Linked DNA regions of Macaca mulatta. The protein of the gene in region 1 purifies or fractionates together with the protein of each later gene. This does not show direct contact. Links are inferred from orthologs where the notes say so. Each region holds a gene or a part of one and is shown on either strand. Other genes may lie near its edges.

Region 1 (4,242 bases):
TCGGAAAGTATTGTTTTAGAAGACAGGCCTCTCCACTTCTAGCCTGGTTTCTTCCAAAACCAAATAAATGTTTTTGTTCCCCAGGTATTGTGTTCTGTGTATTTTCCACAGTGCCGCAGGGAAGGCAGTGCAGACAGTGTAGTTAAGAGTACAGGCTCTGGCCGGGCGCGGTGGCTCAAGCCTGTAATCCCAGCACTTTGGGAGGCCGAGACGGGCGGATCACAAGGTCAGGAGATCGAGACCATCCTGGCTAACACGGCGAAACCCCGTCTCTACTAAAAACACAAAAAATTAGCCGGGCAAGGTGGCGGCGCCTGTGGTCCCAGCTACTCCGGAGGCTGAGGCAGGAGAATGGCGTAAACCCGGGAGGCGGAGCTTGCAGTGAGCTGAGATCTGGCCACTGCACTCCAGCCTGGGCGACAGAGCGAGACTCCGTCTCAAAAAAAAAAAAAAAAAAAAAAAAAAAAAAGAGTACAGGCTCTGAAGTCAAACTGGTCCATCCAAAGCCAACTGCCAAGGGCTGTCGGGAAAATGTCCTGAGATACGCACAGATATGCCAGCAAGGCTCTGCGCCTCCTTAGCTGCTAACATAGAGATAATTGCTGGGATGGTGAAGGGAAGAGCCCTTTGAGGCACTGATATGTAAGTGGAAAGATCGATCCTGGGCCATGATTTTGGGGGAGAGCACTCTAGGTAGAAGAAATATAAAATGATCAAGGGAGGTAACAGATGAGATCTCATTGCTCAACACTTCTAAGGCAGCCTTAACTGAAGTAAAAGCCACTGAGGCCGGTGTGAGGCGCTCTGTGCTTCCAAAGCTCGCTCTGGTTATGGTGTGTGGAATGGGGGAATAGGGTGCAGGGGGAATAACGAACAAGGAGGCTCCCAAAGTGGTCAAGGCAAGAAGTAAATTATCAGCCGGGACTACGGCTGTAAGAAGTAGTTTGTTCTGGATGTACTGTGAGGAGACAGCTGATAAACTGGATCAGGAACTTAGTGGAACAAGGAACTAAGGAGTAAGTCAAGAGGACACTGAGAGGCAGATAGGACAGGGAGGTGGCTGGACATGGATGGCTGTTGCTAAGGAGGAGCTCTGGGCCCAGGACCAAGTCAGTACCACACTTTAAGCTCCCTGAATGGAGGGATAAAGGCTTCTCTTTCCTTCAGAGTCCTCCGCCACTGTAGAATCTGCACGGAACACAAGCTCAGTGCATATCCACAAACAGCATGGAAGGACAAGATGGGCCAGAGTTTCTGAAAAATGGCGATCCCAATGCTGGTGGCCATTAGGTAAGGATTTGTAAAGGACCATCTTCTCTAAGGAGCTGGGAGGAGAATCAAGATTCCAGGGCTTCAGAATGGGTATATGAGGCGGTCCTGAGACTCTTTCAGGAAAGGAAAGCAAAAGGCAATCAAAGCAGCCCAGGCAGGACTGCTGGAGACGTGGCAGCAGATGGACGCTGTTCCGAGAAGCAGGCACCTGGTGTAGCAGGGGAAGACTCTGCAAAGCTAAGGGCGCTGGGGTGTCTCACTCCCCTCCTTCTCAGGGTGCCTGGGGATGGCCACATGCCTTTGGTGGTTATGAGTGGGAATACGGCTAGAGATTTTCTCCTTTCTAACACGGATGCAAGCTTCCAGAATGAAAGGAGAGCTGAGAAACCGCCCAGAGAGAACAACCATGTTCCTCTCTCAAGGACAGAACCTAGCACACGATGTTGCTAGCGTAAGTGGATCCAGTCCAGCTCTCACCGCTCCCCACACAGAGCTGTCTCTACAAAAACCTCAAACGTAAAGAGAGCAAAACCCAAGCCCCAGGCCTCCCAGGCCAGGCCTCTTTGTTCATTCTTTACTGACCACTCGCACAATGTCGTGGGTTGTGGAGACCCAAGCATTAACCAGGCACGCTACCCACAAAGAATCTGTGCACTGGCACACCACACAGGGCACATGCATACAATGACAGAAAGCAAACGGGGCCGCCCCAGAGACCCCGAGACAAGCCGCAGGGCGCCCACCGTTCTCCCTCCCTGGTGCTCCCACCGCTTTCTGTCGAGTCTGTGGGCCTGCCTGACTCCACGAACTCAGGTAAGGCACCGCGTCTCGCCCAACGTCTGCACTCCGCAAACGCCTGTGAAGGTGTCCCTGAAGGTGAGGGAAATGGCTCTGCTGTCAGAAACCAGCGTTCAAAGCCCCACTTGGCCCCGTCTCGGCTAGGTGACCTTGGGGGCGTCACAGCCTCTCTGAGCATAGGTTCCGACAGGTGCCCGACTATAAACCGGCAGCGTCGCCCTCCCCACCTCCGGGGCCTTCCGGGGTGCCGAGCGGAGCGAGCAGGTCCAGTGCTGCCTGCGCGCCCGATACATGAGAGGCGCGGGCCTTCCTGTGCCCTAGCCGGGACCCGGCCCCTGTCGCGCTGCTCACCCAGTTTCCGAAGCCGAACTGCTCGATGGCGTCCAGCAGCAGCTGCTCCTCGCGACTGGTCCAGCCGCCCTCGGCCTCGGGCCCCCAGAGCGTGAAGCGCCCGCCGTCCACCAGCTGGTAGCCGTGGTAGCGGCGGTGGTGGCCGATCTCGGCGCCGGCCGAAAAGCACTCGGGGCACAGCTCGATGTCCTGGCACTCGGTGCAGCGGAAGCGCAGCGGGCTCACCTCGGCCAAGCAGTACACGCAGTACTTCTTCCCCAGCTCCGCCATCTTCCCCCGCTCGCCGCCCGCCGCCCGGCCCGCCGCAGCCGCCGCGCCCCCGGCCGTCAGCGCCCCGCCGCCCGCGGGACCCGCCGCCGCCGCCGCGCACAAGCAACCGCCGCCCGTCGCCGCGGCTGCCGCCACCGCGGCCCCAGCCCAGCAGCCGCCGGAGCCAGCCAGCCGGGCCGCGTCCCGCCTCAGTACGCAGGCGCCGTCCGGCCCGGCCCGGCAGCCGCCGCCGCGGCCGCTGTCGCCCCGCCGCATCGCGCAGGCGCCCCGCGGGCGCCACCTTGCGGACGCCCGGCCCACCGCTCTGCGCCTGCGCGCACCCCGCGCCGGCCGCAGCCGCCTTTCCCAGAGCCTCCTGAACGCCCCGCCCCAGGCCCAGCGGTGGGAAATGGGCAGGCAGAAAGCCCGGCGGGGACGCCACGCCCCTCGCGGCGAGAGCCCACGGCCGCTTCCAATCAATCTCGCCTATCGCCAGCTCGCGGCCTCCCATTGGCTTGCTCTCCGGGGAGAAGAGGCTGGACGACGGCCTGTCGCCTGGCCAATCGCCGGGCCCAGCGCGCGCGCCCTCGGTTGCCCCGGGAAACCTAACAGCACGCTGCCGGGGTCCGCTGCGCTGGCAGAGCCGGGCGGAGATGGAGGGCGGGTCTGAGCACACTAAGGACCCCGGCGGGGAAGGCGGAGACGGGGAAAGCCTGGCCGCGCGGCCGTCCAAGATCAAGGCCAGCTCTGGCCCTCCGACCCCTCCCGAACCCGGGGAGCTGGAGTCGGAGCCAGAGGAGGAGGAGGAGGAGGAGGAGGAGGAGGAAGAGGAGGCTTCGCAGGGAGGCACAGCCGCGGACGAGCAGGCCAAGACCCCGAAAGAGCTAACGGCAGCCGAGGCTGCGGGCGAGGAGGGGCCTGGAGAGCCGGGGAGGCCGGCCAAGCCCCAGCCCGAACCCGAAGAGCCGGCCGAGGCCGGGGCTGAGGAGCCCGTCCAGCCGAAGTCCGGAGCCGGGCCCGAGGAACTAGATGCGGAGGCGAGGGCGGAGGAGCTGGAGCAGGCGGCGGAGGGCAAGGAAGTCCGGTCCCAGGCCTCTCTGCCGCTGACCAGGATCGGCGAGGAAGAGGCTGCTGCAGCCCCGGAGGCCGAGACAGAGCGGGTGGAGGGGGAGGAGGACGACGAGGAGGAGACACGGAGAGACGGCGCGGAGAGCGAGGGGAGGGCTGGGGAAGGACGCCCGGCCAAAAGCCAGGAAGAGGGGAAGCCCCTCGGTGGAAGGGACGAGTTTGAGGACCTGGAGTGGTCCGAGGAGGTCCAGAAGCTACAGGAGCAGCAGCTGCGCAGCGACCTCCTGGACCAGTACCGTTCCCTGCTGATGGAGCGGAACCGCTCCCAGCGCTACAACCTGTACCTGCAGCACAAGATCTTCGAGGCGCTGCGCAAAAAGAAGGGCCTGGAGGCGGCGGAGGTGCCTGACCGGGGCGCAGAAGCAGAGGCCCCCGAGAAAGAGCAAGCGTACCTGCGCCATCTGGGCATGCTGGAGGACCTGAAGAAGCAGCAGGCAGACGACC
Region 2 (3,324 bases), on another chromosome or scaffold:
ATTGGAATGAAGGTGAGAGCAGAACAGCATACATTTGTGTTGGGGGAGTGGTTGGTTATGGTGAAAATAACTGTAGTGGGCCTGGGCTCCTCCCATATTTGTTCGGATATACAGTTATCCTGTCCCAGGGGCCAGTGGCTTCTCTCTACATGACAGACTCAAATTGTGAGGCTCAGTTTTTTCTTGTATTCACAGGTGGCATTGGAAGGCCTTCGGCCTACCATCCCACCAGGTATTTCCCCTCATGTGTGTAAGCTCATGAAGATCTGCATGAACGAAGACCCTGCAAAGCGACCCAAATTTGACATGATTGTGCCTATCCTGGAGAAGATGCAGGACAAGTAGGACCGGAAGGCCCTTGCCTGAACTCCAGAGGTGTCAGGACATGGTTGGGGGAATGTACCTCCCCAAAGCAGCAGACCTCTGGTTGCCTCCCCTGCCTCCAGTCATGGTACTACCCCAGCCATGGGGTCCATCCCCTTCCCCCATCCCTACCACTGTGGCCCCAAAAGGGGCGGGCTCAGAGCTTTGTCACTTGCCACATGGTGTCTCCCAACATGGGAGGGATCAGCCCCGCCTGTCACAATAAAGTTTATTATGAAAACAGGCTGGTGTGGGGACATGGGGACAGACAAGTACATTTAGGTTGGGTGGCTCAGGTGAAGTAGTGCGGCTTCTTCACATTGATGCCATACTCGCTGAGGGCAGGGGTCAAGTCCTCCATGGTTAAAGTATACTTGCGGTCCTGAGGGAAGAGGGAAGAGCACCAACTGAGCACAGGAATCCCACACTTCAATCCCAGATGGGTGACCCTGAGTAAGTTTTACACCTCCCCTAGGATTCAGTTTCCCCAAAGGGGTGGCAGGATAAGCTTCCACTGTTGTGGAAGGTAATTAGTGATTCAATGAGCCTCCCCTCACACCTTGCTCTTGCTCCGGGAGCTGCCGGAGGCTGTGCCCTTCATTTTGCAGTGCTGTAGGGCATCATTGGCAATATCTGAGATGAATTTCTGGGCAGCTAGGGAGATGAGCCGAATTCTAGAGAGAAAAAACTTAGATGAGAAGGAGATGGACAACACACTGCACAAGCACCCAAAACTAACCTGCCCTGGGTTTACTCACATGCGTGGGTCTGAGGCCTCAAAGCCAGCACGGTTCAGGTAGTAACCAGTCACTGCATCTGGGATCTAAGAAATCAATTAAGAGAACTGTCAGCAGAGTGGGATGAGGGTGAGGGAAATGTCGGATAGACCTGGTTATCAGGAAGCTCACGATTTGGGTGAGCAGAGGGCAAAAACAAGAGCGACTACGGAAGCAAACATCAGAGGGTGCTGAAAAGCACGGAGATGTGGCTGAAAGTTGTGACAGCAGGCTAGGTGGCCTTGTTCGGGCGGAAGCCCACCGTAGGCGTGTAATCCTCCAGCTGCATCAAGAAGTCCACCAACGGCGTGCTGGACACCACCGGCTTCACGTCTCCGTTGGCCGCGCTCGGCAGTACGTAAATCCCGTTAGACATGGCCCCTTCTGGGGGCGCCGCGCCACCCGCCGACACCGGAGCTGGAGGAGAACCAGCAAAATGAGACACAGAGGTGGGAGGCGCAGGGCCCCAGCGAGGTCTGTCTATACCCGCTGCCCTCACCCGCCGCTGGGCCCAGTCCCAGACGCTTCCCTCGCCCTCACCCGTCAGGCCCTCACCCGCCCCACGCCGCTCAGCTGGCTCCCCGGCCCGCGCCGCCAAGGGTCCCGTGCCCCCAGCAGCTGCTCCAGCCCCAGGCCCCCCTGCTGTCCCCGCGGGGCTGGCCTTGTTCTCCGCAGCGGTGCTGGCGGGCAGCGCTGCGGGAGCCGAGACCGGGGGTGCCGGGCCCGGGGCCGAGGCGGCGGAAGCCGGCGCCGCCTCGGGGTCCGCGCCGGAGCCGCTGCAGCTCATCGGGCCGGTGGGAGAGGCGGCGAACAGAGCCGCTTCCGCTTCCGCTCGCGCCGCGCACACCCCGGGGTGACGTCACGCGCCCTCGACTCGCCCCGCCTGTCACTGTTAGTGCTCTCCAGCCCGCTCCCCGCCTCCTCTGGTAGTGGGTCTGCGGGTTAGAGGAAATAGGCTGAAGGGCGGAGACCAAGCCTTGGCGAACTGCGCTGCCGTCGCCATTCCGCCCTAGCCTCTGCGGTGCTCGGTGGCGATTCCGTCGAGACTAGAAGCAGCGTGCGTCCGGGACTCTTCCGCCGCTCTGGGACACCTCATTCTGTCTGACGCTCAAGACCTTGCTTCGAGGTTTATGGGCCCTACATCCCTCGACTACGGATTGCCTGCCTGTCTGCATCCTTTCAAGTTCCCTTATTCAGCCTTGTAAGGATTCATAGTGGATTTGGAAAGCCCCCCGCCCTTCTCCACCAACTGCCCCGAGAGGTGGGGGCAGCAGTGGGGCGGCCCACAGTGCTGCTGTAGAAGGAGGAGGGGTTTCAGCCTAAGTCGACAACGTATGCAAAAATCACAACGAGTGAAAGGCGTGAGATTTTCAATGTAGCAGATATTTAATTCTTATTTGCCAACTCCTGAGCTAGGACCTGGGAATACAAAGTTAAATAGAACACGATTCTAGTCCTTTAGGCACCAACGGTCTTGGAAAGGAAGCCAGACAAGTAAAGTGGCTATTTCAATACTATGTGGTCGTTACAATACTAGAGGTAGACACAGGGGTCGCAGTGCAAGGGAGGAAGGGCATTAACATCTGCCACCTACTTCCAGGTGCCAAGTACTCTTATCAACATTATTCCACTTTATTCCCTGGTGATTAGGAAAGGCAGGTAATATTCCCACTTAACAGACGAGGAAACAGCCTCAGGGAGATAAACTTGCTTGACCCAGTCTCTCTCCCAGTCCATATCAGAACCAAGATTCAAACAGGTTTTGTTTAGAAAATCTAGGATTTTTCAGCCATAGCAAAATGAAGTAGCCTCAGGGAATCAAAACATTCACGAGAGAAGGTGACTTCTGAGCTGAATCTTGTAAGAATTCTGGAAATTAACCAGGCAGTTTGTATCAGGGGTGGTATTAAGGGGACAGAACAGCTTGAGCAAGAGTGAGAGTTCCTTGGGGTTTGGGGAGGGAGGAGGAAAAATGATTTGTTACTTAGGAACAAATAGCAACGAAGGTTTGTGAGCTATGATTGGGGGAAGAAAATAAAAAGCCTGAACTCTATCCAGTAATCCTTGAAGGGTTTTCATCCAAGTGGCCTGATGGGATTTGCATTTTACTCTGGAAGATGATTTGGGGATTGGCCGGAAGTAAGGACGCTGTACTTTTCAAGAGAATGTAGCCCTAAACTAATAT

What was found.
Region 2: the proteins of TADA2B (region 1) and TAF10 purify together in Homo sapiens (affinity purification with mass spectrometry; 4 studies listed by BioGRID and IntAct, counting the BioPlex papers as one, with this or other methods). This does not show direct contact. The link is inferred for Macaca mulatta from reciprocal best matches to the Homo sapiens genes TADA2B and TAF10.

What each region holds. Positions count from the first base shown.
Region 1 is NC_133410.1:5,991,400-5,995,641, forward strand, and holds the start of TADA2B (transcriptional adapter 2-beta), read right to left. Parts: upstream 2,900-4,242; 5' UTR 2,692-2,899; coding exon 2,422-2,691; intron 1-2,421. Other genes in the region: CFAP184 (cilia- and flagella-associated protein 184), read left to right, coding at 3,324-4,242. UniProt on the Homo sapiens protein: Coactivates PAX5-dependent transcription together with either SMARCA4 or GCN5L2.
Region 2 is NC_133419.1:59,170,768-59,174,091, reverse strand, and holds TAF10 (transcription initiation factor TFIID subunit 10), read right to left. Parts: upstream 1,939-3,324; 5' UTR 1,927-1,938; coding exon 1,695-1,926; coding exon of another isoform or gene 1,680-1,694; intron 1,557-1,679; coding exon 1,402-1,556; intron 1,187-1,401; coding exon 1,122-1,186; intron 1,038-1,121; coding exon 923-1,037; intron 746-922; coding exon 656-745; 3' UTR 608-655; downstream 1-607. Other genes in the region: scaffold protein ILK, read left to right, coding at 1-12, 196-345. UniProt on the Homo sapiens protein: The TFIID basal transcription factor complex plays a major role in the initiation of RNA polymerase II (Pol II)-dependent transcription.